Astyanax mexicanus: one gene and its partner. The protein of the gene in region 1 purifies or fractionates together with the protein of each later gene. This does not show direct contact. Links are inferred from orthologs where the notes say so. Each region holds a gene or a part of one and is shown on either strand. Other genes may lie near its edges.

Region 1 (16,568 bases):
ACAAGGGTCAACTTTACCAAGCTAAATAACCATTATAACCATGTTTGACCAAGTTGGCTGACCAGTAAGTCCTACAAGATTGGCATGACCATGCTGGTAAAACAGCTGGACCAGCAAGACCAAGCTAATTGACAAAGATTCCAAACAGTACAGCTTCACCAAGACTAACAAGATCATACTGCTTGACCATTATGACCAACCTGACAAAGTTACATAACCACTATTATCAAGCTTCACCATTACCAGCAAGACTAACAAAAACAGAATGGCCAAATGGCCAAATACACCTATACACCTAGTTTACCAGCATGGTGTAATTTTTTGCTAAGGTTACCACTTTTTAATGACCTTGACCATCAAAGACCCAAAAGCTGGTCTTAGTGCCCCAGTATCACCAAACTAGTTGATGGCTTAGCTTTCAACCAGCATGACTATGCTCAACCGTGCTGGTCGACTATTGACTACAATGATAAACAACACCAAGGTGACCAAGGTGGTTGGACCAGTGTGATTAACCTAGCCAAGTTACATAACCACTATAACCAAGCTACACTGGGAAGAACTGGTTCACCAGCTAGTTTACTAGTATAGTATCTGTTTTTTGCCTGGGTTAACAGCTAAATTTCAACCAGCATGACGATAATAGTCTCAAAAGCTGGCTTTGAGCTGGATATTTCACTGGATGTCTTTTGTCTTTTGAGTCATTTGTAGTCTCAATTTCAGATCATCTGCACGTCCTTCAACACAATTTATAACAATAAGGCTTATAATCTGCAGTCTGTGTTATACATGTATATTGTAGATATTAGCAATACTATAGGTATCAATACATTACTTAATCGTTGTGTCAGCTTGAGATGGAGTCAGTCCAGTGTTGATAACATTGAAGTAGACTATGATGACTTCATTTTGGCTATGATTGCTCAATATGTCCCATTATTACCAAGCTAACTAATCGATCAGTTTAAACTTAGACCAGCAAAACCAAGCTTAACCATGCTGGTTGACTACTAAAATCAACAAGACCGAGCTACATAATCGCTAATAACCAAGCTTGACCATTACCAGCAAGACTAGCATGACCAGTATGACAAAAAGCAAATACATCATACCCTAAACTGGCAAGAACTAGTTCACCAGCAAGTTTACCAGCATACTGTCATTTTCGTCAGGGTCACCAGCTTAATTTCAACCACCATTACACTCAACAACCAGCTTGGACCATCTAAAACCAGCCACCAGAACAAAATCTGGTTTGGAACTGGATTTTCTGCAGGGTTTAAAAACTCCAGGAGGTTGTGGTGTCTCCAGGAGTGTTCAGACCCTGGTGAAAAATCCAGTTAAAGACCACCTGGGTCAAGTCCAGCTCCTATGCATGTCCTTTCTCGACCTGTACTACGAACAATATGGCTAATAATATGCAAGGTGTGGTTAATTACCCTAGCTAGGTAACTTTAGATCAACCTGACCAAACTACATAACCACCATAACCAAGCTTGACCATTACCAGCAAGAGCAACAAGACTAGCATGGCCAGCATGACCAAAATACAACATTCCGTATACTGGTAAGAACTGGTTCACCACCAACTTTACCAGCATACTGTCGTTTTTGCCAGGGTTACCAGCATAATTTCAACCAAAATGTCCATTAACAACCAGCTAAGACCATCTAAAACTAGCCACCAGAACAGAAGCTGGTCTTGAAATGATTTTCAGCAGGGTTTAAACACTCCAGGAGGTTGTGGTGGTGTTCAGGGTCTTTGGGGTCATTTGTAGTTTCAAGTCCAGCCCCTCTACATGTCATTTCTCACCATTTACTATTAATAATATGGCTAATAATATGCAATATGTGATTAATTAGCTAGGTAGATAAACCTGACCAAGCTACATAACCACTATACCCAAGCTTGACCATTACCAGCAAGACTAGCATGGCCAGTATGACCAAAACCAAATAAAGCATACTCTATACTAGCAAGGACTGGTTCAACAGCTAGTTTACCAGCATACTGTCGTTTTTGCCAGGGTTACCAGCATAATTTCAACCACCATGACCATTAACAACCAACTAAGACCATCTAAAACTAGACACCAGAATAAAAGCTGGTCTTGAACCATTTTTTCAGAAGGGTTTAAACACTCCAGGAGGTTGTGGTGGTGTTCAGGGTCTTTAGGGTCATTTGTAGTTTCAAGTCCAGCTCCTCTGCACGTCCTTTCTTGAAATGTATTATTAATAATACGATTAATAATATGCAATGTCTTATTAATTAGCCAGATATTAGCTATATTTTTCATTACACTGCCTTATCATTGTGTCAGCCTGAGATAGAGTCAGTCCAGTGTTGATAACATCAAGCGGGTCTAGAATGGCTTTGTTGTTCAATATTTCCATTAATTTAGGCTTTAAACAGAAGAATAAAGAGATTTAAGATTGAACTAATTGTGTTAAACGTTAGATATATCTCTATTGTTATATATTTAGCTGTTTATCTCCATTCGAATACTTCTAGGTTAAATGCCGGACCCTTTATTGTTGTTATTGGAAGCTAGCTATCTCAGCTAACTAACCTAGCAACGCTAGCTAAGCTAACTAGCTAACCTAGCAACGCTACTAGCTAGATTAAGCCCAGTCTAAATCTCAGCCAGCAATCAAATTATACACCACAAACCCGCACCGACACGACCCCAAAAAGCCAAGCCTACAAACCCGAATTGAAGGCTCTGCAGTCGGCCGGATAAATCCCCTATTCCTGCTGTTGTTTTCGAGCTAGTCCTGGAGATCCATCAGCCGTCTGATCTTCATGTTCAGCCGGGCTATGCTACTCGACCCAGCCGCTGTGATTGCCCGTGTCCGCCGCGCTCATGCTCCAGTCTGGCTCCTCTCTCTCTCTGGTTCTCTGTTAGTTTCTGGAGCTCCAGTGAACGTGGTCAGTATTCAGTCCACCAAACACGCAGATTAATCGATGTCTCCGCTTTCTGAGTCGGAGCTCCGCGGGTAAATCCTTTATCCAGCGTGTGAACCGCACCGACTGATGCCCCACACTGCAGCAGCCCCAGCCTGCACCTACCCACCGCACCGAGCCGCCGGGCGGAGGAGCAGCCGCTGCCTAAACCTAGAGAACAGGGACATCCAGCGGCCAGACTGACACACAGCACACCGAAGATCAGGTCACACACTGGACACTGTATAATTTTATTAAGGTGACATCATGTGTAAAAAAAAAAAAAAAAACATAATTAGTGGCCACGTAAAAATAGTAATTTTTCCAATGTGCCTGACATTTTCTGCATTCGCTTTTCCATTTCTTTGTACTCCTACTGTAAGTTAAATAAGTAATAAGTTAAACTAAAATTTTGGCTAAATGGTAACTTGCCCTGTGATACCCTGCAATGGGCTGATGCCTTGTCCAGGACTAGATAGATAGATAGATAGATAGATAGATAGATAGATAGATAGATAGATAGATAGATAGATAGATAGATAGATAGATAGATAGATACTTTAGTCATCCCGAAGGAAATTTAGGCATCCAGCAGCAACAACACAATACAATAAGAAACATACTCAGACAAATCAAAACACAGAACAATAGAAAATATTCCAGCCTGGTGTCCAATGATTCCTGTTAGGACCAATCACAACCCTTACCAGTACGAAGGACTTTTCTATTTTCTATTGATGGTGAGGTATAGACAGTTTTATTTGCCAAAGAATCCAAGCTATTAAAAATACAAGAATATATGGACATTATTATAGAGCTCTGGAGAAATTTCTGAATTAGAAAAAGAAAAGTTTCTGAATTAGTTTCTCTGATTTTGCTATTTATATATGTATATGTTTGAGTAAAATGAAGATTGTTTTAGTCTATAAACTACAGACAACATTTCTCCCAATTTACAAACAAAAAAAAAGTCATTTAGAGCATTTATTCGCAGAAAATGAGAAATGTCTGAAATAACAAAAAGGATGCAGAGCTTTTAGACCTCATTTATAAAGTTCATAAAGTTTTAAGAGTTTAGAAATCAGTATTTGGTGGAATATCCCTGTTGTTTAATCCCGGTTTTCATGCATCTTGGCATGTTCTCCTCCACCAGTCTTACACACTGCTTTTGGAACTTTATGCCACTCCTGGTGCAAAAATTCAAGCAGTTCAGCTTGGTTTGATGGCTTGTGATCATCCATCTTCCTCTTGATTATATTCCAGAGGTTTTCATATTGGTGAAATCAAAGAAACTCATCATTTTTTAAGTGGTCTCTTAGTTTTTTTTTTTTTTTCCCAGAGCTGTATATATATCATTAATAAGAGGATAACCCATTACAGATGTAAAGTTTTGTATGACCAGATAAACCCTGACTGAAATAGAGTGATGTAATTAACCTCTCAGAGCAAACCTAGCCCTTCGCATACCCACACACTTTCCTTGGTATGATCTCACACTATGATTAGTGAATATTAATAGAAACATAAATGAAGAATGAAGACAAAATATCATTATAAATGCATTAGGGATCTGATTATAGAGAAGTATAAATATGGGGAAGGAAAACGTCCACCAAACTGCCGGCAAGGCCAGACCTCTATACTTAGTTACCAAACAACCAAAACACTTCTTACAACAGAGTGTGAGACATTTACTCTGTGTTTCATAGAGAAGTTAGTGTCTGGGACTGGACATGAAGTTTAAGAATCTTCAAGACCTTCCACTGTACGTAATACAGTTTCATAGTTTCAAAAAAACAGCTGTCAGCTAAGATATATTTTGGTGTGCAAAGTCTGCTTTTTTACTTTTTACGGAAGGTAATAGGTGATAAGTGATGGCTGTTGTAGCTAATAAGTAAGCTTAAGCTCACAAATTTGCACTGTGCAAACTGAATGAAAGGCTTGTCATAGGATATCGGTATGTAAATTGAACATTAAGTGTTACTTTATTTCTTTATATTGTATAATTGTGAGGTGTTAAGATGGGGTTTAAATGTGAAAACTGGCCAGCATGGTTAATGGCCAGCATGGTTTTATAGGCACTATATTGCCTATAAAAGTATCTGCTGGCCTGCATTGCTGCGTTTGATGATGTGAGGCTTGGATAGAGCTGCTCGGTCATGTAAACTCTCCATTCCATGAGTCTCTCTACACTCTACTGTTGATGATCTAATCTGAAGCTACATGAAGTTTGAAGGTGTGTAGTGATGAACTCTGAAGCTACATGAGGTTTGGAGGTGTGTAGTAGTGATGAACTCTGAAGGTACATGAAGTTTGGAGGTTTGTAGTGATGAACTCTGAAGCTACATGAAGTTTGAGGTGTGTAGTGATGAACTCTGAAGCTACATGAAGTTTGGAGGTGTGCAGTGATGAACTCTGAAGCTACATGAAGTTTGAGGTGTGTAGTGATAAACTCTGAAGCTGCATTAAGTTTGGAGGTGTGTAGTGATGAACTCTGAAGCTACATGAAGTTTGAGGTGTGTAGTGATGAACTCTGAAGCTACATGAAGTTTGAAGGTGTGTAGTGATGAACTCTGAAGCTACATGAAGTTTGGAGGTGTGTAGTGATGTAGTAACTCTGAAGCTACATGAAGTTTGAAGGTGTGTAGTGATGAATTCTGAAGCTACATGAAGTTTGGAGGTGTGTAGTGATGATGAACTCTGAAGCTACATGAAGTTTGGAGGTGTGTAGTGATGAACTAATCTGAAGCTACATGTAGTTTAGAGGTGTGTATTGATGACCTCTGAAGCTACATGAAGTTTGGAGGTGTGTAGTGATGAACTCTGAAGCTACATGAAGTTTGGAGGTGTGTAGTGATGATGAACTCTGAAGCTACATGAAGTTTGGAGGTGTGTAGTGATGATAAACTCTGAAGCTACATGAAGTTTGGAGGTGTGTAGTGATGTAGTAACTCTGAAGCTACATGTAGTTTAGAGGTGTGTAGTGATGAACTCTGAAGCTACATGAAGTTTGGAGGTGTGTAGTGATGTAGTAACTCTGAAGCTACATGAAGTTTGAAGGTGTGTAGTGATGAATTCTGAAGCTACATGAAGTTTGGAGGTGTGTAGTGATGATGAACTCTGAAGCTACATGAAGTTTGGAGGTGTGTAGTGATGAACTCTGAAGCTACATGAAGTTTGGAGGTGTGTAGTGATTGGTGTAGTGACTCTGCAGAAAGTTGGTGAACTCTGTGCACTATGCTCCCCAGCATCTGCTGACTCTGCTCTGTTATTTCACACTGAGAGAGTCGCTGTCGTTCCCAGTCTCTTCCACTGTGTTACAATAATACTGACAGTTGGCTGTGGAATATTTAGTAGTGGGGAAATTTTACTACTGGACTTGTTGCACAGGGGCTGCATCCTATCACGGTAACACATTTATAAGGACAATAACCCTACACCATGAGGGTGAAGACCAGCACATGCCTCCTCCAATACATGTGAAGTCAGCCACTGCTTCCTTTCTCGACTGCTGCAGAGTAGCATCACAGCACTCTTGGGAGGAAAGCTCAGCGACTCGGTTCTGATACATCAGCTCACAGACGCCTTGTGCCGATCGACATCACCCTTTGGAGTAATGAGGGGAAAGAGCATCATCTACCCGCCCAGAGAGAACAAGGCCAATTTTGCTCTCTCATGATTCATGACCAGGATTCGAACCAGCGATCTCCTGATCTTAGTGGCAGCACCTTAGTTTGCTAAACCACTCAGAGCCACTCGAAGCCCCACCACATACTTTTGCCACTCACAAAATATGTAATATTAGATCATTTTCCTCAACAAATGAACAACCAAGTACAATTTGTTTTGTCTTGATATTTTTTGTTTAAAAATCTGACTATGTTTTAGGTCATATTTATGCAGAACTATAGAAAATTCACAAATGAGTTCACACATTTTTAAGCACCACTATAATCCCATATAAATCTGCGTCCATAACAGAACAGCAAAGCGTTAAAGTCCACATCAGACCTCCACAGCCAGCCAGAGGCTCAGAAACAGATGTGAAACTGTGCAGTTGGTGGTGAGAGAGAACCTGCCACTGGTTCCCTCCCACACCACGACGGGGGAGAGCTGGGTCTGCTTTAAAACTTCTCCTCCCTCCACTGTGACGGCTAGCTCCGCCCACACACTTTCCAAATACCACACCTGTTCTCCGGCAAGAGGTGGGACTGCGTGCTGATTGGCTAGCACAGACCAATCGTAGCCCAGGGAAAGGGGATAGTCCTAGTGGGGGCCAATCCTGGTGCACAAGAGCCTCCAAGTGGAACGCTGGTCTACTGTTGTAGCCAATCCTCGCAAAGGGGGCGGGACCAACCTGAAAACAGGTGTGAAACAAATGCATATCGTTCCAACTCCAGGCAGTAGAAAAGTGCTGTTTTCCCTTTTCCTTCAGGAAATCACATGGAGGTGTTGGTGCACTCACATGACAGCCTGGACTATGGAAGGAGAGCTGAATGAAGGTAATTTGAGAAAGAAATCAAACTATTTTCTACAGATCATTTAGGAACAAGTGGTTCCAGACGTCGTTTGAGGTCGATTTAGGTCTTGGGCTTGGGTTTTTGGCTCGTTCTCGTTCTTGAGAAGAAGATATAACTGTCTGGTGGTGTTTAAATAAGACTCATACAGAGTTTTTTGATGGAAAAGCAGTGGAGTAATGGGACACTGCAGGATGTATACATCGACAGGTCTCACCTGTTGAAAAAAAAGGCTTAAACAAGTAGTAAAAGAGGTGCGAATAGTCTGTATAGACTGAATCCAGCTGATCCAGCTGTTCCAGGTGTTCCAGGTGTTGTATAAAGCAGTATCTGTCCAGCAGGGAACAGTTTGTTCCCACTGGCTTGGCTCTGTTTACCAGTGTGACCTGCTGGTTGTCATTCTGAGAGGGTCTCAGCAGCCTATACATGTTGCCAGGGTTTCCTCAGGGGGCATCTATGCAGGCTTTGAGTAAAGATGCGTTTAGAGGAATGGAAGGGGGGGGGGGGGGGGGGACACAGGGCAAATAGTGAAAAGTATCCCCCCCATAATAAAAGACAGAACGCCAGGAAACTGAGGACCTGTTGCGTAAGCAAGGATCAGGATGGAGGTTCAGGTCCTGGGCTGAGAGCACAGCATGGAAATGAGACAGACAGACAGACAGACAGACAAATTTGAGGTTATATTGGGACGCAGTGGTTATTTCTTTGTAGGAGTGTGTGTGTGTGTTTGTGTGTGTGTGTGTGTGTGTGTGTGTGTGTGTGTGTGTAGGATAGGCAATTCAAAGTGCTTTACAGAAAGATTTAAGACTCAGTGTAGAACAAGTTAAAAAGAAAGTTATAAAAAATTATAAATTAAAGGGAAAGAACTTACATTTAAAACAGAATGAAAATAAATAAGATTGGAAAATTAGAAATAAATGTAAGACATAATACAGAAAAAAATACAAGATATTAAGAACAAAAACAATACAAGAAGAAAAGTACTAACAATGTGAAAAGAAGAGAAAGCAAGATATATTTTCAGCTTTTTTAGAGTACCTTGTTTTTTCTTGTTTTAGTCAGTTTAATTAACATATCCAACATTATAGCATAGTTATGTAAATATCAACAAATCACACTATACAGATATAACCTCAATAAATAAAAAAGCTTGGTTTTAGTTTAGTTTTAATAAGAAGAGCCCATTCATTTAAAGAAGGCAATTGATGCTTGGTTTAATAACAGTGTTTTTGTGTTTTACTTATTTGGTATAACTTAAAACTATAATATAATATTAAGGGTCACAATTAACAATACTTACGACAGTAATAAACATCGTAAAATGGTCAAGTAGTGTAATCAACACTACTTATGACATTATTAAAAATGTCAGTGCTTACTAATGTCTTAACTAGTGTCGTTTAATAATTAGTTGAGAAATTCTGCCGTAAGTATTGTTAATTAATGTACTCTTATTGTAAAGTATTATATTTCATGTACTTTAGATTACTTTAATTTTAAGTCTCTGGAAGTTCATAATCCTTAACCATTCATTGCCCTTTCAATATAATGTATACATGTATTATTATGCTGCTGTAATATCATTATATCAGTGGCATAATGCGTCTTAAATTGGCAACACATTGTATTATCCCAATTATATAGCCAGGCCTACTTGTAGCTGTAGCTGACTTTATTAGAGATCCTTTTTAAACCTTTTTTAGTCCCTTAGTGGGGAAATTCACAGTATTACAGCAGCAAAGGGAAAGCATGGCACAAAAAAATATATAAAATAAATAGTACAATATAAATAATAAACAGTAAAGAACTCTTAAGACTGTATTTAAAAATAATTGCGCATTGCCTCTTAGTTGCACAGGGGTAATGGAGTAATGTTTTACATTATGTTACACTGAAGAAATTGTATTTTCTGTAAGTGTGTAACGTTTAAGTGTGTGTGTACTTCATGAATGAAAGGGCAGCTCCTCGTAATGTCCAAAAGTCATTACTTCTAGTTTGACTTTTACTTGAGTGTGGTTTTATTCTCCTCTTCACCTCTCTGTTTGTGTTTGGTTAAACTGTAATGTTACATATTGGTCAAAACTGTATGTTTTAGGGCCTGTAATATAATTATTTATCTGTTCTGCCTCAACCTCAGGATCAGTCCCTCTGTATTATCGAGAAGTGCATCAGGCTATCAGCAGCAGGACAGACGAACGAGTGCAAATCGATGTGTTCCACAGACTTCTCAACGGAACCGATCTCTCGCTCAACCAGCAGAACCAGGTTGGTTAATGTCACAGTACGGCCCTGACCACATGCATCTGGATATTTCTAAAAATATATGTGTTTTGGCCTCCTGTTCCTCCCACTGGTCACTGAAAACAGAGCTTTTACAAAATGCTCTCGGTGCAGGAGCTTTTTGAAAACTCACATATGATGAATTGTATATACTGTTCAATCACTAATATTAAATACTCTATTTACATTTAGAATCTGTAATTTCCTGCCTTATACATGTATAGTGCAGTAATGAGGGAGTAGTCTGACTGTAATTTGGGATTAAACCTCTCTGTTGTCTTGAAAAATAAATGCTGATATCCAATAATACACTTGTATATGTCTGCCAATGCTAATATACATAATTATAATTTACAAATAGACTAGACACACTGGCATAACTTTACAAATAAAACAATAAACATAAAAACAATAAAATAAAAGTTTTCTCCTAAAATATTTGATTTTGTTTTACATTGATTTAGCTACCTGGTCCTTGCATAGACTTCATAGGTTACAGCTTCAATAAACAGTTTATAACAGTTTATAATAATAGTATAGTAACAGTTATAATAACAGTTTATTATAATATTAAACCGTTTTTTAATTTAACAGGTTAAATAAACAATAGAAATATTAAAATTCATTTAAATAAAAAGCATGAATCAGGGCTCCGAGTGGTCCAGCATACTAAAGCGCTGCCACTATGATTGGGAAATCGCTGGTTCGAATCCCGTTCATGTAGCTTGCTGTCAGCTGCCAGAGCCCTGAGAGAAAGCACAATTGGTCTTGTTCTCTCTCTGGGTGGGTAGATGGCACTCTCTCCCCACATCACTCCTAGGGTGATGTCGATCAGCACAAGGCGTCTGTGAGCTGATGTATCAGAACTGAGTGGCTGCGCTTTCCTCCGAGCGCTCAGTGATGCTACTTGGCAATGCTGCATCAGCAGCAGTTTAAAAAGAGGCGGTGGCTGACTTCATCTTGCCCAAGGACTCTTATTAGTGTAGTGCAGCATTTTAATTCAGACCGGGAATTGAACCCCAGTACCATAGCTCCCTGGCAGGTAGTGGTGTTATCCACTGCACCGCACCAAACAACGAAGTGTTGGCCAACTGTAGTAGTGCGACCAGCATTGCTTTGTCTTTTTCTGGTATATAATAAATACATCAGCAAGTATTGATTTGAAAAATGTAGACATTTATCGTTCGATAAAATTCCAATATCATCGCACTCATTCTGTTCAGAGGGAGGGAAACATTTATTCTACTATTCACACTAGACCTCAAGCAGTTTGGACTGCGTGTCTCGCCACTCTTTCTCCAGACTCTGCTCCCTTGATTTACAAATGAAATGGAAAATAAAATGATCAGTGATGGTTTGGAGAGTCATGTCTGTCATCTGCTGGTGTTGATCCACTGTGTTCTATCAAGTCTAAAGTCAGTGCAGTTTTGTTTTCCCACAAAATCTTACAGCACTTCATGCTTCCCTCTGCTACTGACAACTTTTATGGAGATGAAGATTTCATTTTCCAGCAGGACTTGGTACACTGCCCACACTGCCAAAAGTACTAATTAATTTTCTGAGACACTGATTTTTGGGTTTTTATTGGCTGTAAGCCATAATCAACAACAATAAAAGAAATAAACGATGAATGAGTTTTACATTCTGAACTGAATTAGTGAAATAAAGTAACTTTTCAATGATTTTTTTTTGATGCACTAGTATATTGATGTAGTTCAAGACTCTACAGTCTAGTACTGTAGAGTCTACATAGTAGTGTGTTGAAAGCACATGAACACTTGTGACACTTTTAAAGGCTCTTATCTTCACTCCAGATAACAGCAACACTTCTGTCTTTCCTCCAGATTACAGAACATGTCGATAATGGCAACGGCTTCCTAAGTAAGGTATCCTTCTACAAGGCCTTGGCTCTGATTGCGCTTGCTCAACAAGGAAAGCACCCCAGCCCTAAGCTCCTGGAGCACTGCATACAAGGTAAGTAGCAGCCCATTTGACCTCTCCCGTGGAAATGAAATTCACCAAGCATTTTATGGACAAACGTCTCTCTGACTGGCCCTAAATGAATTACTCCATATAACGGGTCATGTGCTGCCATAGTGGGAGCTAGTAAAGGCACAGTTTTCTGCGCGTCAGCATTCAGAAGATACGTCATGCCTCCTATCATGTGCCTGAAGGTCCTGGAGTGCTGGATTCCTGCACTGTAAAATCTAATAGCTGCTGTGACTTTACCCAGTTAGCAACAAAATGAACTTCTTACTTACTCGCTGTTTTATAGGTTCCAGTTACTTGTATGGTTAAAATATATTTTTTATAACAATTAAGTAGTAAAAATCCTGCAATGTGAGAATGTTCAGACAGAAAGAGTGCGTAGATCATGTCTTTAAGTCTTGTATTGTGAACTGTTAAGTTGGTTCAGTTAAATATTGTGATATTTTGGCTGTGCCTAATGTTTGGGCAGCAAAGATTAAATGAGAAAACTCACACCTTTCCAATTGACCTCAGGCACCATCTATTTGCATAAAGTAGACAGTGACCGTCAGTGTGTAGTCACTCCTCTCCCACCTACGTCTAGGTTTACAAGTACAGGTTATGTAATGGTTGACTGTCTGGACTCTTAATGATTTTTAAGCAATTTCACTGTTGCAGACAAATTTTCAAAGTCGGGATAAAATCATGAAAGTCTTTTTCTTATCCTGGCGTCTTGAGACTCAGCTCACGCAAATAGTGACATTAACAATGTCAACAACCAATAGGAGAGCTACGGGAAGCCGCAAAGCAAGAACAATTTACGTGACTGTTTCCAAGCGATTTATAAAAGAACACATTTTGCAGTTAATATACCTTATATGGTTCTTACTTTAATATGTACAGTATTTTAAACACAGTTAGCACTTTTCCATCATTATATTTAAAATTATTTTGTTTTGCACTACTGTACAAGTTTAATAAATACACATTTTGCAAGAATGTTGTTCTTTATTGCATAAAATTGATCTAAAACAAATGTATAGCAGTGAGATTATGATTCTTTGCTATACAAGGTTGTAGCAAAAAAAGGGTTGAACACAAAATATATTCTATTAATAAAATATTAAGAACTAACAGTGTGGCAGAAAAATAAACAGTTGATGGGGACAAAAGTTGTGATTCTCTGATAAAACACAGTATTAATATAGACATTATGTGTAACTTAATACGTATTATGTATTGTATTTAAACTCCACCAGAAGCATGATGGGAAATCATCTCAGAAATAGTAATCCCCAGTCTTAGCAAAGTCTTGGTCTGTGAATAAAAAATCTGTGACTTGTCTTTAGATGTGAGAGGTTGTCGGACTTTAGTCTGTCTTTTTAAAAGTCTTTTTTTTTAGAGTTTTTTCAAAGTCGTGTAGTGAATGGACAACATAAAGCAGAGATATCTGAAAACCCTGAAAAAAAAAGTCTGAAGAGTCCTTCAGTCTTTCCCGATTCCTGGTCTAGAACGTTCTCACAGATACATTATGAGTTGTGTAATCATTGCTTTCACTGAGAATAAAAAAAAAGCAACATCTAGGTCAGCACTTTCTGTGCTTTAGCCTGACTGGGCTCCCACTCTGTGAGACTCTCAGCGTCACAGTGATTATATTGCAGGCCATTTAGTTTTGCTGTAAATTTGATATCTGCATCCTAAAGCCAATCCTAATGGTTTCTTTGGTTTGTGTGCATGTGGTCAGAATAAGAGTCTGAGAACTCCGTCTGCTTGCGTTTAAAGCCGACATTGTTCTGAACGGTGGCTTTTTTCTTCATCTTCGTAACCTCAAGCTAAAGCTCTCTTTCAGAACTGCATTATTTTAGGGCGCCTGGTGTTATTTCAGGTGCTGGCCTTGTGGCAGCTCAGCTGCGAGGAGCGAAAGCTGATGTGTCCTGTTTCTCCCTGAAGCATGAGCTTTCCCGTCTGTCACATGCCATTTCACTCCACCCAGGCCTTTGTGTGGAATGTGCCGGAGAAACCGGGCTTTGCATCACCAAACACAGACTCTGTGGCTGTTGTCTACTTTGTATATATTCAGTATATTATTCTGTGTATCTGTAAAATTTGATTTTTATTCATTTTGGAAAGTTTGGTAAAACCTAGGCAAAGTAAAAGATTGTACATTAATGTACAAAGAATCAGGGGATAACAGTATGTAAATTGAATTCCCGTGACTTGAGAATTCCCACACCTGTATAAGTTCTGAGGTGTTACCTTGTAAGTGAGTTGGAGAGAGGCCTAAAAGTAGGTATCAGAGGGATTTGACATTTCATATTGTTTGTCAGAGAAGGTTAATATTATTAATTAATATGAATAGAAGTTATTATTGGGAACAGACATGTGACTCAAGTCAGAATAGCATTCTTCAGTCTACATAAGACATTGCAAAAAAAGTCATGGGACACTATTTCCATGAACTACTTTCTGGCATGTAACTGTACAAGATAATAGAGATGTTTTTTTTTGTTATCTTGCCTCCTGTCCTCCTGTGTGGTATTTTGCAGAGTCAACTTCCTGACTTGTTTCTCCCGCCCTCAGAATTGCTATTATGTAACATTGTCACATGACTAACAATGATTCTGTGCCCAAAAATGTATTATATATGATTAATATATGTTTATTAATGTTATTTTTGTTTCCCCTATATTGTAAAGTAACACTGAAGTCATTCAAATTATGAAGGAACACATAAGGAGTCTTGTAATAACGTATTATTAGCTTATCCTGTGCAACAGATGTAACTCTTGCTCTTCTTTTCCTGGGGTGGTCCTGATGAGAGCCAGTTTCATCATAATGCTCATTAGGATACTTTCAAAGTTCTTGAACTCTACCTCTTTACAACTGATGCTCTTAAAGACATTAAGAGGACAAAAAAGTTAAGTAATTAACTCTTGATGAGTTCAGCACAGCTGCTAACTGAAACCATTCTGCTTTGTTTAACATGTTTTTGTTTACTAAATAATTCTATATGTTTTTCTTCATATTTTTTTTACTTTAGTATTAAGTATGTCCTGTTCGTCAAAACCCGGGGGACTTTCTGATGGCCTGCTCTAATCAGACGTGACCTTTTAACTACCTGCTCTGTTGTGTACATAGGAATTTCTGTTAGTCACACTTGACTGAATAGAGCTTTGTCAGCACCTTTCTGTTAGTCATGAAGTGTATGGTGTGTGTGTGTGTGTGGTGTGTGCATGTTGTCACAGAGTTTCCTAAGCCCCAGCTAGGAGAGCCAAAGGACCTGCAGAACTTGAGGATGCAGCCGGTCCAGGAGAACCCTCTGCTCCTGTCTCTGACCCTGGCCAACCTGCTGAGCAAGGACACGATAAAGGTGGACCTCATTCCAGAGAAGAAAGGCCTGTTCCTCAAACATGTGGAATATCAGGTCACCAGTCAGGTGAGCAGTGGAGACACATAGTCGAACACATGCAGGAGGTTTTACATAGGGGCTACATACACATAGCAGACAAAATCAGATTTTTATATGTGAGGAAGGTGTGTTAATTTTAAATGTGTAGAAGTGTGAATAGCAAAATCCATTTTCAGTTTTTTGGCTACATTCACATAACAGGTAAAAGTGGCCCAAATCCGATTGTCTGACCAAATCCATATTCATTTTGGCTGTTTACTCATCTTTTAATCTGACATCTGACTGTCTTAATGTTTGACACTTACATAATGAAAAGAGCACTGCTTCACTTTCAGTTTCACTTTTATCTTTTTAAGCCTTAATGAAGGAAAATAATGCTACCACCCCTTGTGAAAAGGAGGTATTCCCAAGAGCATTAAAAGTATTAGTATTAGTATAGTAAAAGTGCATTTTCAATGTAATATACTTTATGAAAATACATATTAAATAAACTTTCTCTGTATTTTAATAAAATGTATTTCTAAGCTATATGTTGTGTTGATAGAATATATATATATATATATATGTCTTGACATTAAATACTGCTTAAAGTGTACTTCAGTGTATTTTTTTCCAGTAGCATTGAGGCGTACACAATTTGTACCTCAATATGTAAAGTAGTAAAAAAGTTGCAATATACTTCAATGTATTAAAAGAGGTGTTTAAAGACACATACTGAAATATACTTAAGTATATAAGAAAAATCACTTAAAAGCACAATTTAATGCTTTTTATGTTGTGTTGTGTTTATAATAGTACATTTAGTATGTATTTAAGTACATATTTTAATTTTAAAAAGTATGTACTTTTCTATGTTAAATATACTTTTAAGAAATATACTTAAGTACAGTTTTCTTTTACAAGGGACAGCACGGCTCAACAAACTAAAGATTTAATCCATATTTCAACATAAAAACAAACAATTTCATTTAAAAATGTTAAAATGAGCTTGAAAGTAGTAGAAACATTGAGTTAACATTTCTAATTAAACTACTAATGCGTCAACAGCCTGCTGGAGAAAGAAAGTGAACTTTGGCAGGAAGTTGGGGCCAAATTTGATATTATGTAAAATCATTAATAACAAAAAAGTGTGTTAAACATTTGTGTGAAAAAGAAAAAATGCTTAACACGTTAACGTTGTGAGCAGTAGTTAAAATGTGACTGTTAAAACACTGAACACTTCATAGCACTTTATTTTAACTCAACTTTCTGGGGATTTCGGGGTATATTCCACTGATCTCTCTGGATGATAAGAAATGTATTATAAATTTTGTCTGGAATTTTCCTTTTTACAGCAGCTTCCCTTAACAACACTTCCCTTATAAAAATCACACAAACACATCTGCTATTAGAGCTCAGAGACCCTAAATTCAAACACAGACAGTGTAGAACAATAACATATTAAATATCC
Region 2 (16,856 bases), on another chromosome or scaffold:
ACAGTCTGTGGTCCTTCAGTTTCTCTACATGCTTTATTATACAACTTCCCCCTGAACTTCAAATGCCCAGGACCAATGGCTGGTGTGAGAGAGAGAGACACAGCAGGGCTGCTAGAGTTTTTAAACACCCCATTGTCACTACTGGTCTGAGAATATCTGAAACTGTTTATATAAAATAAAATTAACATTTCTTGCAATAGCATATTCTTAAAAGAATACAATTAGTGTTAAATATGGCCCTAAAATAATATCATGAGATTTTTGGCCATATTTCAGAACAAGTGAGAAAGCAAGTGAGCATCAGACAGTTTCACTGGTGTATGTAAACTTTCTCACAGCGCTCTGATACAGTCTGGTTGCGAAAGGTCTTTCCCCAGAGGAGGCAGAGATAATCTGCTGTTATAAGAACGATAAATGTTCCCATTATTATATTTAGGTTGCATCATTCAATGTTTTGGCATGAAGTTGCACTCAGCTGGCACCCAGTGGTCCCCCAGGAAGGAAATATCCAGAATCGAGGCTCAGTTTGCCCTAATAAACCATGGGAAGGTACTGGGAAAACTGATCCACCAGAATTACATCAAGAATTAAATACGCAGAACTAAAGCCACTTAACCTCAAAAAAAAAAAAAAAAAAAGCAGCAAAAGCAGCAAAAAATCTGTCAAGCAGATGATGCCTAACTTTTCTCTCTCCCGTCTCTCTCTCTATTTCTCAAACACAGACACAGATAGATCTCAGAACTCAACAGTAACTTGTTAGTTTGTAGATACTGAATACCTTACAGTACATATGGAATGCCTCACAATAGACACAAAATGCCTCAATAGATATGGAATACCCCATAATATATACAGAATACCTCACAGAACATATAGAACACCCTAAAAAAGTTAGAGAGCACCACACAATAAATATAAAATACCTCCTAATACATAGAACTGAACTAATGACTTGAGCAAAAAAGACCAATATAGAACAGCATTAGACTCTAAATTAATGTGATTTCACCATAACTAACAAATTATACATTGTGCAGCCCTATTAAAAGACTACTTAAAGACTAATAGTCTACACTGGCACTAAACTCCATTCCCAATTGAGGTTTTACCAATAACCTGTAAAAGCAATAAAACACCTGCAGTTCAAACAGAGAGACATAAAACATGGCAAAAAAGGTATCAGCTGTCCAGATAAAAGAAAGTACTGTGTGTGTGTGTGTGTGTGTGTGTGTGTGTGTGTGTGTGTGTGTGTGTGTGTGTGTGAGAGAGATCTCTAAATAATTCACATTGCTCAGAGCTCTAACCAGCCGACAGACACGGGCTGTTTCCATGACACTGCAACAAAGGGGGCCAACAGGGGTCCGAGCACGAGGGGCTCTGTGTCCCTAAAGTGGGTGAAAAGTAGAGACTAGTATTTAAAGCATTTTGAAATAAATAAAAAAATCTAAATCCATAAACAGATACTGTTATGGCTCATAAAAAAAATGTAAAAGAATGTTTAAAAAAAATGAAATTCACAGTTTGCATTTAACTTGGCCTGTGTCTCCAAAGGTGCCCGAACATAACAGGTTACACAAATTGAACATTTAAACATATTCTGGGTACTTACAGGGCATTAAATCCAACGTTTAGGTGTTTTCTATTTTAAATGAAAAGGGGGGCATTGACTAATCACTAAACACTGACTAATCAACTAATCATAAAAAAATAATCATCAGATTAGTCAACTACCAACCAGTGAATTTGTACCTTTGAATATGCTGTGCAAAGAGATATAAATTACATTTACTAATTTATTTGTTTTATTCACATTGTTAAAAATAAAACTGCTTAAAATGGTTCCTCAGAGAAATATTTAAAGACATTTTCATGATAGAAGCACTGTTTTGACAAGCAAACAAAAAGCATTAGCAATGGCAGACTAACTAACTAAAAATTGCTATTCAAACACTTTCATGCATAGCACCACATTTTTATTCCGTTTTGCTGCACATAATCTAGTTAGATTTTGTACTCTGTTATAAAATGAACAACATGGTCAGTGTTCTTTACACAATTATGATATCCATGATTTGCATCTTAAAAAGAATATGGTTGAAATGTTAAAATAATCATCACACCTTCAATCTACTGGGTATTATAAATGTAAGCAATTATGTGAGCACTCAAGTGCCCTAATCTTAAATGTCCTGTATTCTCTCACTCTCTCCACTTCCTGTCTGCTGCAGCATTCACTTCCTCTCTCCTTCCTTTCATTTATCAGTCTCTTTCCTCTGGCCGCTGCATCCTAACAGGAACCCCACAGGGCAGCAACACAGCACACATTCAAAGAACAGACCCACACTGCTAATCTAAACCAAACAAACTGCATTATACTCCCAGCATTATTTGCATAGGCTAAAGAGCAAATGCATAACACCCATCTGTAAATAGCTCAGCAGCAACATCACTGACCCTGCAACCTGTGTACTCATCTTTCATATTTTCATCCAATATTCACAGAATAAAGAACAGGACACATGCGTTAAACATAAGTGAATGGAGCTCAGAGCAATTCTTCACATACACTGATCAAGCATAACATTATATAGTTTCTACACCCATTATCCACCATTCCAGCTCCACTGAGCATTTAGGACTTTTTATAGTTCTATATTTGCTGGTTATAGTCATTCTGTTTGCCTGTATACTTTTTCGTCTTTTTTCAATCTGCTCTTCAATGATCAGGACCCCAAAGGACCACCACAGAGCAGTTATTATTTGGGTCAGTATATCAGTGTGTGATGCGATAGTACACGTGCAGAGAATAGTCCACCAGCATAGTCCTGAAGGAAATGTCCTGTGACTACTGATGAAGGACCAGAGATGACATACACAAACTGTTCAGCAACCGACGAGCTTCATTCTCTAAAGCTACTATGGGTAGAAGTGCCTCAGAGTACAGTAAGCAGACACAATAAGATGAGAAAACACCTTCCATAATATGACATACTTTGTAGTGAAACATGCTATCGGGGAGGGTGTGTGAGCAAGCTCCTTGACACACAGGGGTGTTAGGAGGGGGAGGTGAAACATTACATCATTAGTTCATACTAATGTTGCTCACACACAGATGCACGGTGAGGTCATTAAAACATCACAAACATATCATGCTTGATGAATATTGTGCTCCACAAAACATACTCCATATTAGTATAACGGAATTCAGACAAAGCTTTGCTAACTGAACAGTTGAGCCCTGGTCTTAGTGTTTCCCTGTAAATAAGCCACACACCTTAAGCGCTGTGTAGGACAGGAACGAACACAGTGGATTTGACCACAGTAATTACATAATAAACACATGTAGGCAAAAGGCAATGGACATTTCATAACAAGCTAAATTGCAACAGAAGCAGTTGTTACAGCACAGCACATTTCTTTTTGACCTAAGGATGCAATTCATTACAAAAAAAATATGAGAAAAACATGAATTACCTATTTTCAAAACGTTCTGTATAATTTAGAGGCCGAATCAGTATTTTGAATATCAGAAGTAAGAAAATAGAATAATCTAACATGATCAATTTGTCTAGCCGAGACACAGGCCGAGACACAGGCCGAGACACAGGCCGAGACACAGGCCGAGACACAGGCCGAGACACAGGCCGAGACACAGGCCGAGACACAGGCCTCATATTGCCCACCCCTTTCTATATGTTTATAAAAGGTTAAAAAAAGGACATGTGACTCAAGCGAAAAAAAAATTCTGTTGAATGAACACCCTGTATGTATTTACGGATCCCAAGAGGAGCCGTGGATAAAGAAAAAAAAAAAAAAAAAAAATATATATATATATATATATATATATATATATATATATATATATATATATATATATATATATATATATATATATTTAATCAAGCGAATCATATAGCAGTTCGTGCTGACATTTTCTTTAATTCGAGTGAACAATTTGCAATTCACGCTCACAATTTCTTTAATCCGTGCTTGATTATTATGAAAACTGCCCAGTCAAATAAACATAAAACATTGTATTAATTATTTTAGATATGCTATTTTGATTTTATATAGTGTTACAGATTTAAAGCAACTCTTATATGAGACATTCATAGACAACTGTCACACACTGCAAGTTATTTTATTCCACTTACAGCTTACAAATGACATAACGAGTAAGTCATTCCTTACAGCATATGTGGGCAGAAAAATGTAAGGTCAATCAGGGTACAGCACTCACAGAAAGATGCTGGACAACCAATTCCTAAGTGTTGGAAATGATGCAGTAAAATTCTTTTCACCTAAAATGAGTTGATTATTTTTATTACAAAAATGATAACAGAACATTACAACCACAATAAACCACTTTATTTTATTAAGGAAAATATTATCCTCAAGTGGAGACAAAGAAAGAACTTCCACTTTGACTAGACCACTATTTTAGCAAAGCTATGTAGTTAACTCCAGCTGATGAACACTACTGCACCCCAGAAAAAAAGATCTGAAAGTTACTTAGAAGTTAACTTTCAATATCTAACCCTGGGTGCACCTTAGTTAGCTATAACGCTATTTTAATAACCTTAAAAACGTGCAAACGCTCAGAACTGAAGGAATACAACAAACACAAACTTTGAATAGTTAATAACTTTCGCTCCAAGCCGGCCACTCCACGCTCATCACGTAGCTCCAGGCTGGATCACCAGCTAGATAGCTGCTAGCAGGTCACAGATGTAGCTAGGTTGTGTGTATCCAGTTGAACATTTTTTTTATTTAAACTTCTGCCAAAGCACAGGCTGGCTTTTTCACAGCACAGAGCATTCAAAACCAGAGTTATTCACCAGCTGCAGGGAACAGGCAGAGGACTTAAAGCCAGTTAGCTAAAGATAGAAAGGTAGTTAGCCAACTAGCAGGCTAGCCAGACCTTCTCTCCAGAACTTGAAGCTGAAAACCCCCCTTCCCCCCCCCCCCCCCCCACTATCCATGGGTTTCACACCACATTTATACATGGCTTTGAACGATTAAAAAGAACAACCCAAATTAATAGAAGCACATTTTCTGCTATAAGCAGAATGGCGCTCTGGTTAGCCAGCTAGCTATACAAGCAAGCTAACTAACCTAGCTATAGCAATAGCTCAATAGCTGGCTACGTTAGCCACCAGCAAGCTCGTTAGCTTAGCATTATCTAGCCACGGAGCTAACCCAAGTCAAAACCAAATGCTTCCCGGTGTAGTGAGGTGGTTTATGCAGCCTTCAACTCCACATTGGAAGCTCGTTTTTGGTGTAGATTAAACAATGTGTTATGATATAATATTTAATATTGTTATTTGACGTCAATGAAGCACTCGAATGCTTGATATTTCTTGAACCTTATCTTATCTAATACAGTTATGTTTTAATTTGATATTCTTTAAACTAGGTAGATCATCATCTGATGGTCCTTGACTGACTTCTTGTAGCTAAAAACACACTGAACTGCTTTTATATATTGTTATTTAAGATACCTTATAATTCATATTTTATATATAACGTTTTAATACTATTCCACTACTAACGTTACACTTTTATTTTATTTTTTTATTTTTCGGCTTTACGTTTTTAAACCGTTAAACTATGATTAACACATACCTGTTTTAATATGCAGAGCAAAGTGGATAATGAATAATCATGTTTTTTTTTTTATAAAACATTATTAATGCGTGAAGATTACTTGTTAGGTTTTCTGAAATATATGAAGAAAACAAACGTGTTGATAGTGTAAATTAAAGAGATTCATCTTCGGTCAACCACAGCCACCTCTCCTTCACTCTCAACCCCTAAAGAACTGCTTGGCCTGGGCAGACTATGCAGTTCAAGTGGTTTTGTTTGAAAACAACAAGGAAAGTAACATTTTTTAAGGAAAAGTTTGTTTTTTTTTGCCTCATGTTCCTAGAAACCTATTTACAAACACTGCAAACAAAACAAGCTAATAAAAACAATCATGTTATGGGCTTTAAAGTTTAAAGTGCAGCAATAGTTTTTTGCTCAGCGTTACAGGGGATACATCTAAAATGACTATTTCTACTCTTACTAAAGTAATTGTAGATATCTACAAGTACATTTTTATTAGTTAAGCAGAAGTATGTGGTTAATTATGGTTAAGCAAAAATAAGATTCAGATTAAGTGTAACGTTAAATCAAATGTAGGTTAGTTAGCTAGCTTTAGCTAGCTACTTAACGCTTCGTAACATATGAATAATAAAATTACATTAGGTCTAGTCAGAATAATGATATTACCTAGAGATGTAAACCTGATAATATTACTAAACAATGTCTTTTAATAGCGGAATTATGGAGTGAGTGTTTCAGCTAGCATGGTTGGCATTAGAGATAAATTAGATTAAGCAAACTTGGCTTATGAAACAAAGTCAGTATATATACGTTTATGACATGGGTTTGGTTTTGAAACGGCCAGGCTTGCCTTTTAACGATATTGTGCATTTAAATTGAAGTAAAGACATTTCTAACCAGCCAACACAGCTAGTATTAGATAGGTATGCTAAGCTAACTGGCTAGCTAGCTAGCTACCCAGAGGTAGCACAGGCTAATATAGCCGCTCTCCTCTCTCCGTTAGCATGAACGATTAGCTATTAGCTTAGCTGGGCTAGCTAGTTAGCTTTTCGCTTCGCCTCTCTCAGCTCGCAGTGTCCCTCGCCAGCTTCTTACACTCATATTTACCAACAATAAGCAACAATTGACCAACAGAAACAAACAGACCGGGCTGTTTTCACCTTCGAGCGAAGCTACGTCAGTCCGCCGCGCGCCTAGCGGCTCGCTTTTCCCGGACTTCTGCTCCCGCTGTTGTTTTCAGGGTCTCCTCTCAGCCCAGGAGCGACTCGCGGTACCGGTGGTTCTCGCGCCGACTTCGCGGTCCCCCGCGTTCACTCTCTGGGACTCGTAGCTAGGCAACGCTCGCTAGCCGAAGCGGCGCGTGCTGGCTAATATAAAAAAAAAACCCAACGCCTCTTCTGAGCGTTTAGGACGCCGACCGCGAACGTTCCCGGTTCAGGCTGCTCCGCGCTCGAGCGGCTCTTCCCGAGGAGTGTAGTTAGTTTTTATTGGGAGTTTCTTTGATCTCCGCCGCGTGCAGTGCTGCTAGAATCCCGCAGGCTCCGCGCTCGCGACTCTCACACAAACACACACATACACGAACCAGCGCGAGAGCGAGACCCACACTGAAGCAATGAACGAGTCGTGTGTACGAATCGGCCCATTTGAACCGGCTGGTGCGGTTCTAAATAAAAGAACCGATTCGAGAGTAAAAGTTGACTAAATAGTTAACCCTTAGCTTAGAGAATATTTTTGTATGTTTCATAGGTTACAATCCATAAATTACCCTAAGCTAGCTAAGTGGCTGTGTGGCAATGCTTTTGTGCTTGTTGTTTTTTTTGCAGTTGTTTACACTCACTGCTCAAATCTGAAAATATATAAAATATATATGAAATATAAGTATACAATATATTTTTACATTTGTTTGTTTGTATCTTTGATTTTGATTCGTAGTCTTTTGCTCATTTGTTATGTTGTGTGCCATCTGAATGAAGGGAACGAAAACGATTCGATAGAATCGATTCACCGAACCCAACCCCGACAATAGAATCGGTTCGTTAAACTGAATCAAACTGAAACATCACTCGACAAGCTCCAGAGCTTCAGGCTCACAGTGATGATGTCGGTCAGATCCCGACCACGCCCCCCTCCCCCCAACCTGCAGTCGCTGGGTTGTGATGTACGATGCACGTGGACCCACATTTAAGGGAACAAACTAAACTCAGAAAGAAAGATAGAGTGATAATTGTCTTAAACATTTTGATGCAAATGATAATACTTGTTTGCCAAACAGTAAATATGTAAAGCAGAATCTTTGTGTGTGTGTTTTTTTTTTTTTCATTTTTTTCTAAATCATAAATTATAAATTATAAATGATGGATGATTATGTTCCACATCCATGTACATTTTTTAAAATGTAAATTCTACTATTTCTTGTAACATAAAAACTCATTTAAGTCAACTAGTCATAGTGTTTGTGTGAGTATGTGTGTTTGTTTGCAGTGGCTGATCATAGTGTGCACACATGCTTTAGCCCATTTAGCAAAAGATTGTTAAATCAAACTTAATTTTTCAATTTCATTAGAAACTGATTTATTTTTGTTCACATTTTGTGAACATTAAAGATGTTTGTATTCTACCATTATTACTTATATTTGTTTCTGCATTGGAACAGTAAAAGGGACTGCATCATCATTATTATTATAAAGAAGACACCCACAAATCCCCTATCCTGTTATATGAACATTGATTCAATGTCTGAATTGTAATATTTACTGAAACTGGCGAGTCCATTATAAATAAAGGTTGTATAGGTGTTGTTGTTTTTTTTCAATATCAACATTAAAAGGTGTAATACAACAATAATTTCTTCAATGTTCTTTGCTACCTGGGATTAGATTTAAGGGTGTAAATGCTGTAAAACAATGTGGAAAAGAGGTTATTTTTTAAGCACTGTACCGCTCCCCTGGCTCTCTCACTTGCTCTGCTGTTTGGCGTCTCGTGTTAATTCCCATGTTCAGTATCTTAATCTAGCAGAAACAGGCTGAAGCACCAAAGAATGTGTTTCTGAGAAGCGTAGAATTGACACTGGCGTCCTGCCAAGCCAGGCTGAAGAGGAGGCCTCTGGCCTGCAGGAAAAAGAGGGTTTCAGCATTCAGAGACAGGCCAGCAGAAAAAAAATATATATATACTGTAAAATAATTCCTTCTACCCATCTTCCATCTCATTCTCTCTTCAGCAGTGCAAAGTATTTACAGTAGGCCTGTCACAATGAATGTTTTTGTTCTAATGATAAATTGTCCTAAAGATAATTGCCATAAACAATACTATTGTCATTGTAAGACAGTTTAATGCAAAAAGGTTTAAAAGCACAGGACTTTGGATAATTAAGAATATTCATAATAATCTTAGGTACCTTTTAACATACCTTCTATACACACAGGAGATGTTTCTTTACCCCTCTAATCTAAACAGGTTGGTTATCTAATGTTGCCTTCCTTTTACCTTAGCAATTGTGTACAGTATTAGATCACCTTTGGTTTTGATTACAGGCACTTTGACAGCCCAAAATTACATAAATTTTTGAGTACACACAATATTTCAAAAGGACAATGCTTATTTACATAATGCTGCAGTAGACACAGATACTGTGACATGGCCACCCAAATCGTCAGATCCGTCCCCGAGTGAAAATGTGTAACAATTGTGGAAAAAAAAATTGAGACCTTTTGGAGAAAAAAAAATCTAGGCATTCTATACACACAAAATAATATACACACTTGACAGCCCAATGGTGCATTAATAAGCTTCTGTAACAGGTGTCCAACCTTTCTGAACACACACTCCTATGTACTTATTCCAACAGGACAATCCTCATCCACATACTGCTAAAGAGCTTCCCTTAAAGATACAAGAGCCATGGGCATAGTTCTGCCGATCCCTGACACCCTTAGGAGCCTCTATGGAAAACTCTATTACATGCTGAGACATTTGACATGTTGCATAACACATGCATTATAGACTACTTCTGTATGTGTAGTTGAATAAATATTGCCCATTTAATTTCCTTCTGAATAGCATTACAATCCCACACTTTTTTTCTAATGCAACTATTTTTGAAACTATTTCATTAGCAGTGAATCTACATTAAGATTCCTAATGAAGACCATAAAAAATGTTAAATAAAAGCTAAAATAAAATTCCATAGTAGTATAGTCTCATATACACACACCACACATACTGTAAACTCATATCAGACATCAGCGAGTGAATGCCAGACAGAGCAGAAAAGTCTTGGAGAGGACAACTACAACAAATGAGTTCCATCTGGTTCTGTTTTTCAGTGCTATCGCTACACAAAGAACTACAAAAAAAAAAAAAAAAAAAAAAACAGAACAGAACATTTCCCTGCAGCCGGACCTGTTCACCCTCCACAAACTTCACCTCTCTCTCTCTCTTTCTTCGGCTCACACTGACGCTCGATCGAGGTTCAAGTTCCTTCCTGGAAGACAACCTGCTTTTCTAGTCCGATCTTTTACCAGATGCTTGGAGGGAGGGGAGCAGAGGAAGCCTGTGATGTCATGGAATAGCAAGACCCTAAAAAAAGGAGGAATGTGAGGAATTTAAACTCCTCATACAGACAATTATAAATACATTTCCTAACACAGTCTCTCATGGAATTTATGTACACTGATGAGCCAAAACATTATGACCAAGCCAGTTGATGCTGGAGGGCCAATTGCACAGGTCTAAAAGATAAAAAAAAAAAACCTGCAGTCTTCAAGTTTAGCTCTAACCCTTGTTAATTATAATTTCCTCCACCCCTCACCTCACTTCTTTCTCAGTGACAACAAAAAATGCTGCTTCCCTCCTATGTTCCTCCTGTTTTTACCATTTCACTAACAATAGGTTAAATATATGAATTTTGAAGCACCAATTTTTGGCTAGTAGAATGTTTTCTCAATGTTACAGTTAAAGTTCTTTGGATATTCAATCTGTTAAGTTTTTTAATATCTTTTGAACATTGTCATTTAACGTTTTAAAACATGGTAATGTCACCATTTATGTTTATCATTTTGTGAATGTTACTTTTGATGTTACCGTTCCGTTAATATTTGTCTAGCTGGGAACGTAATGTAAAAAATGGTCTAATAATGTTGTGATGCAAACCATAATTATGTCACATTTTCAGAATGTTATACACACAAAAGCCTATACACACAATACTGTACTGTATTTTATTTAGTGTGGGCCATAAAATAAACCATTGAAAAATTGTGCCCATTTATTTCTTTCACAATGACGCCATCTGCTGGTTACAGCTTTACTGTCACTGTAAGTGAACAACCCTCTAGCTTCAATGTTTCCACTTCTGCACCACTTCACACACTTTACAATTATCTTACTCGTTCCCCACTGTTACCCATCACTATAAATGACGAAGTTCTCCTGGAAAAGACTCAACAGGACAGTGTGAATCCACCCAAAGGTCACAAAGATTGCAAGCAACTTCACAGCTGGAACAAATGACCAAATTACTGATCTATCCAGGTCCTTAATATTAATTTCTATTACGTTTTATACTCTTGGCTTTCGGGTTATGTTAGAAAGGAGTAGGAGGTGAGTGCCAGAAGAGCAGCAGGTGAGCAGCAGGAGGGTGCCATGTGAGCAACAAATGAGTACCAGAAGAGATATCACCAAATGAGATAAGCAATAGTTAAGCAGTAGGTGAGGGCCAGAAGAGCAGTAGATGAGCAGCAAGTGAGTGGTGGAAGAGTGGCAGATGAGTGCCAGAAGAGTGGCAGGTGAGCAACAGGTGAGTGCCAAAAAAGCGGCAAGTGAGCAACAGGTGAGTGTAAGCAGAGCAGCAGAAGAGTGGCAGGTGAGCAAAAGATGAGTGCCAGAAGAGCAGTAGATGAGCAGCAGGTGAGTGCCAGAAGAATGGCAGATGAGTGCCAGAAAAGTGGCAGGTGAGCAACTGGTGAGTGCCAGGAGAGCAGCAGAAGAGTGGCAGGTAAGTGCCAGGAGAGCGGCAGAAGAGTGGCAGGTAAGTGCCAGGAGAGCGGCAGAAGAGTGGCAGGTGAGCAGCAGGTGAGCAATAGGCTCAGCATACTGTGCTCTCCTATCTACAGATCATGGTATTCTCTACCTGTTTACTTTCCTCAACCATTCCCAACATGACAGCCAGGTTTGAGCGCACTTTTCAGAACTGATGGAGGATGAGCAGCTGCAGGTATACGCAGAAACTCCTGCCCACACACAGAAAACAAAACAAACAAAAAAAGTGAATATGTGAATATACACTGATCAAACTTAACATTATGAACACCTTGTTTCAGTGTTTTTAAACACTGTGTTCCCTCGCTGTACACTTTATTAGCACTCTGAAGCTCATCTGTTACTGCACAATTTATGTTGATTTATGTTGATCATCCACTAGTCCTTCACAGAACATTGCCCTCAGGATGCTGCCCTCAGGACGATACCTGCAAACAGATTGGTGAATCATTTCCAGTCTAGCAGTGCCACTAAGGAAGATAATACAGTATTTTGAGAAAAAATACTAAGAACCACAGTCTATAATAACAGAACTAAAAAGTGTGCTATATGATCAGTGGAGCTGATGTGTGTAGGAACTTGGAGGTGGTCATAATTTTGAGCCTGATCAGTAGGTAAGAAACAAACAAAAGAAAAGTGTGGTCTTTAAATTGGATATATTATATTTCGACTGGGGGTAATGGACACATTGGTTGAGAATTATTGTCACAGTGCATATTTATAATAATTAAATAAACAAATGAATAAATACATATGTGTATTTTGCCGATTATGACGTGCAATAAAGCGAATAAAGCGCAAGCTTTTTAGTGATTCAGCATTCCCTCTCTCCTTTCATCCTCCTGTTCTTCCTCTCATTCTCTTCCCAGGTGTTACCATAGCAACACCTGGCTGCCGGGGTATTTCTGTCTCCATGGCAACTGGGCAGCAGATTTCTGAAGAGTGGGGGTGGGCAAAAAAACCCACCTTTTCTTACATATGGAAGGACAGTGGGTTTAACTGCCGGCTGATCTACACTCAGCTCCGGGCTGCTGACGCAACGTCTGCACTGAGGACGTCACACAGCTCAGCAGCACGAGTCGGTAAGAGAACCTGGAAGGATGTCATACTGAAATTGGTCACTTCCTTTTTGCATTAATAATAAAATCATTCAAAAATGCTGCACAACATCTATCTGTGTAATATTTAATATTTTTATGTAAAGATATAGAACAGAACTGGTACACAATATTAATATATATATATATATATATATATATATATATATATATATATATATATATATATATATATAGTGTGTATTATGTTGTATCTTTTTTAACATGTATGTTTGGAACACTCATTTTTTTTTGGAAAGATCTATCCAGTTATGTTTCAGTTATATTCTAATAAAGCTCACTGCAGTGTAGGTACACCGCTGTCAAATACAAAATATTTTTTGTCGATTTTTAAATTTACTACATAATTTGAACACATAATCCCTTAATACACTGTCTAAACATTCCTTGATAAATGGACCAATAGAAATTCTCTAAAATTACCTAAAATATTTTTACATTGACTTCCACTGAAAATTAAGAAAGTTTTATATTTCTCCTGCTGTTTTGTTTATTTGCTTATCTTTTTTTATCTGGGATGCCCTTGATTGTTATATGTGGTGTGCTTGCTAAATGAAAAAAAAAGAAAGAAAACTTTGAACTGCAATTGTGTCTCATTTGTTAATGTATGAAACCTGCTATTTAAATGAAGCATATTATTATTATTTTATTTTATTTTACTAAGATATTCGTCAAGCACGTCTGTTAATGTTTTAAAAAAAAAAAACAGTTAACATATTTAAACGTATATAATTGTATTGGTTTTATCCTTGTACTTTTAGGTTGTCATATTAATCAGAATTTGTATTCATACTTTATTTGTACTTTTAAATTTTAGAATTTAAGGAGCTCCAGTTACTCGCTTTGTATTGTTAGGTTATTGTTTGTTTTTATTGTCTTAATTTGTAATAGAATTTATATATATATATATATATATATATATATATATATATATATATATATATATATATATATATATATATATATATATATATACCTGTAAATGTATGGAATGCACTATTTTATAGCATTATTATTATTATTATTATTATTATTATTATTATTATTATTATTATTATTATTATTATTATTATTATATAATAGCTCCCTCACTTGCTCGCTCACTACGGAGGGTGCAGGTCTAGGGCTGAAGTGAAGCACTCAACCCCGCCTCCTCTGATTTTCACAGCAAAAGACAGGCTTTCCTCTCCTCTCCTCCATCACCGCTCCTCTCCTCCTTCATCCTGCTGAAATAAAGGATTCAGTAATAAACCTGGACCCGTATCTCGGGGGGAAAATGGGAAAGAAGCGGGACATCACGGTAAGAATCGCTTTTTTTCCAGTGCTGAGGAAAACACGTCATTCTATTTTGCAGAAGAGCTTCACGCACAAAAACCGATGATCTGACTGAAAACGGAGCGATAATGGCGTGTCCTGCTGCTCAGACGCTGTTTCTCAGCATATCTGTCATAAATGGGGGGCACAGTGTGTAGTAGTGTGGTCGCGTATGAAGCGATATATATAAAAACCTCCGACACTATGTATCTGTTTAAATGGGCGTTATGAAAGCCCAGCTCTGTGTTGACAGGCCCCTGCTGAAAAAGCAGCATGACCAGCTCAAGCTGGACAAACTGGTTAATCTGGTTGACCACAATTTGACTCAATATAGGGTGTAATTTTGATCAATCAGACCAACCAATATGATCTGGTTTGATTATGCTGGATGAACAATATGACCATCATGACCAAGATCTGATTAATCAGCCAGCCTTCCTGCCTAAGGTAGCTATGATTTGTCTGGATGACCAGCTTCATCTATCTTAACCATCTACTTCTAACATCCAGTTTAGACCATGCAAAACCAGCAACAAGCACAAGCCTGAACAAACTGGTTGACAACTGTTTTACTCCTGACCAGCATAGGGTATTTTTTGGGGGATGATGGCTACAACCATGATTATGAACAAGCCTGGCCATACTGATTGACCAACAGCACCAGTATGACCAAAATCATCAACCAAATAAAACATACTACATACTATACTGGTCAAGAGTTGAAAACCAGCTAGCCTACTAGTATATGCTATGTTTTATTCTAGATGACCAAGGTCAACCACCTTAACAATCCACTCTAACCATCTAGTTTAAACCATCCAAAACCAGCTACCAGCTCAAGCTGGATAAATTGGTTAATATAGTTGCCCACAGTTTGACTGGTTGACCATTCCTGATCAGCAGAGGGTATATTTTTGTTAAATTGTTCTACAACTGTAATTAACTTGATCAAGCTAGACAACCAGTATGATCTAATCAAATTATGCTGGCCAGGAGCTGGTTATCCCAGCTATCTTACCAGAATATGGTATGTTTTTGTATAGATGACCAGCTACAACCACTTTACTGTCCACCTCAACCATTTAGTTTAAACCATCCGAAACCAGCTACCAGCTCAATCTTGACATGGTAGTTAATCTGGTTGACCAAAGTTTAATCTGGTATAAGTCAGTTTATGATTTTAAACTAAATTATCATCACCAAAATTAACAACCATTAAAACTGCTGGTCAGTGTCAGCCTTTATGCCATTAGGCCCAGGATCCTTCATTGTTCAGGTGTCCTCTGTTGTAAAATCTTTAATGAATTCACCAACAACAGGAGTCTTCTTTCTATTTTTTTTATAAGCTTTTTAAAGTCCTACTCATAATTAGACTCATTGTCCCCCTCTTTGTCCTGTAGTACTCCAAGAGAACAAACAGCTCCGAACACTGGACCTCGCCGGACCCTGCGCGAAAGGCAAAGTAGGAAGACTATCCTGCTACCTGCTATCCAGACCTGTCTTCATGTGTACGATGAACAGCACTGCCTGGCCCTTGGACCTGGCAGACACCACACAGCGCCAGGCCTTTAACAACACCTCAGGGCAGGGTTCAGCCCCCAGCGGCTGGGATTTGATCCACACAGCCACACTGGCCTCCTGCTCTATGCTCCTTATCGTCATCTTCTGCCTGGGCTCCTATGGCAATCTGGTGGTGTTCCTGTCATTTTTCGACCCCGCCTTCCGCAAATTCCGCACCAACTTTGATTTCATGATTCTCAACTTGTCTTTCTGTGACCTGTTCATCTGCTGTGTCACCGCACCCATGTTCGCTCTTGTGCTCTTCCTGGACGCAGGGGACGATGGTGGCAGCGTCTCTAAGGGCTTTTGCTTTGCCTTTCATCTCACCAGCTCAGGTTTCATCATCATGTCCCTAGAGACAGTGGCTGTGATTGCCCTGCATCGGCTGCGCATGGTCCTGGGCCAGCAGCCAAACCACACTGCCTCCTTCCCTTGCACTCTGGCGCTTACCGCTCTGCTGTGGACCTCTAGTTTCACACTGGCAGTTTTGGTCACTTTGAGAGCCTACCCCAGGACCCCGGGTCCCTGCCTGCCCCATTTTGGCCTCACAGGCAACCAGGCCAAGGTGGTATTGTATGTGTACCTTGCAGATTTTGCCTTCTGTGTGGGTGTGGTGTCCATCTCGTACTTGATGATTGCCCAAGCACTGCGCAAGAATGCCCAGGTTCGTAAGTGCCCTATCATCACAGTAGATGCCACACGTCCGCAGGGCCCTCCACCACCCTTCATTGTTGCTGGATTTGAGAGCATGCAGTGTGCTGTCCAGGTCCCCTCGTTGTACCGCAACCAGACCTACAACAAGCTCCAGCATGTACAGACACACCCATTTGCAAAGAGGAACAGTGGCGCCTTGGTGCCAGGGGCTGCCGCTGGAGCTACCTGCTGCCAGATAGTGTCCACAGTCAATCTAGCCACAGCAAAGGATTCTAAAGCTGTGGTAACTTGTGTGGTCATAGTCATCTCCGTCCTGTTTTGTTGCTTGCCCATGGGTGTGTCTCTGGCACAGGATGTCCTTTCTTCGCAGAGTGGCTTCGTCCACTATCAGTTTGAGATTTGTGGGTTTGCCCTTATCTTCCTCAAATCGGGCATAAACCCATTCGTTTACTCTCGGAACAGCGCAGGCCTGCGACGCAGGGTGCTCTGCTGTGTCCAGTGGCTGGCACTCGGATTTCTCTGCTGCAAGCACAAGACCCGGCTCCACGCCATGGGCAAGGGAAGCCT

The links.
Region 2: the proteins of snx8a (region 1) and fbxw7 purify together in Homo sapiens (affinity purification with mass spectrometry; 3 studies listed by BioGRID and IntAct, counting the BioPlex papers as one, with this or other methods). This does not show direct contact. The link is inferred for Astyanax mexicanus from reciprocal best matches to the Homo sapiens genes SNX8 and FBXW7.

The regions. Positions count from the first base shown.
Region 1 is NC_064410.1:56,336,820-56,353,387, forward strand, and holds the start of snx8a (sorting nexin-8a), read left to right. Parts: upstream 1-7,336; 5' UTR 7,337-7,409; coding exon 7,410-7,446; intron 7,447-9,598; coding exon 9,599-9,726; intron 9,727-11,585; coding exon 11,586-11,715; intron 11,716-14,954; coding exon 14,955-15,145; intron 15,146-16,568. UniProt on the Homo sapiens protein: May be involved in several stages of intracellular trafficking. May play a role in intracellular protein transport from early endosomes to the trans-Golgi network.
Region 2 is NC_064432.1:20,339,147-20,356,002, reverse strand, and holds the start of fbxw7 (F-box/WD repeat-containing protein 7), read right to left. Parts: upstream 7,180-16,856; 5' UTR 6,768-7,179; exon of another isoform or gene 6,754-6,767; intron 1-6,753. Other genes in the region: gpr75 (probable G-protein coupled receptor 75), read left to right, coding at 15,580-16,856. UniProt on the Homo sapiens protein: Substrate recognition component of a SCF (SKP1-CUL1-F-box protein) E3 ubiquitin-protein ligase complex which mediates the ubiquitination and subsequent proteasomal degradation of target proteins.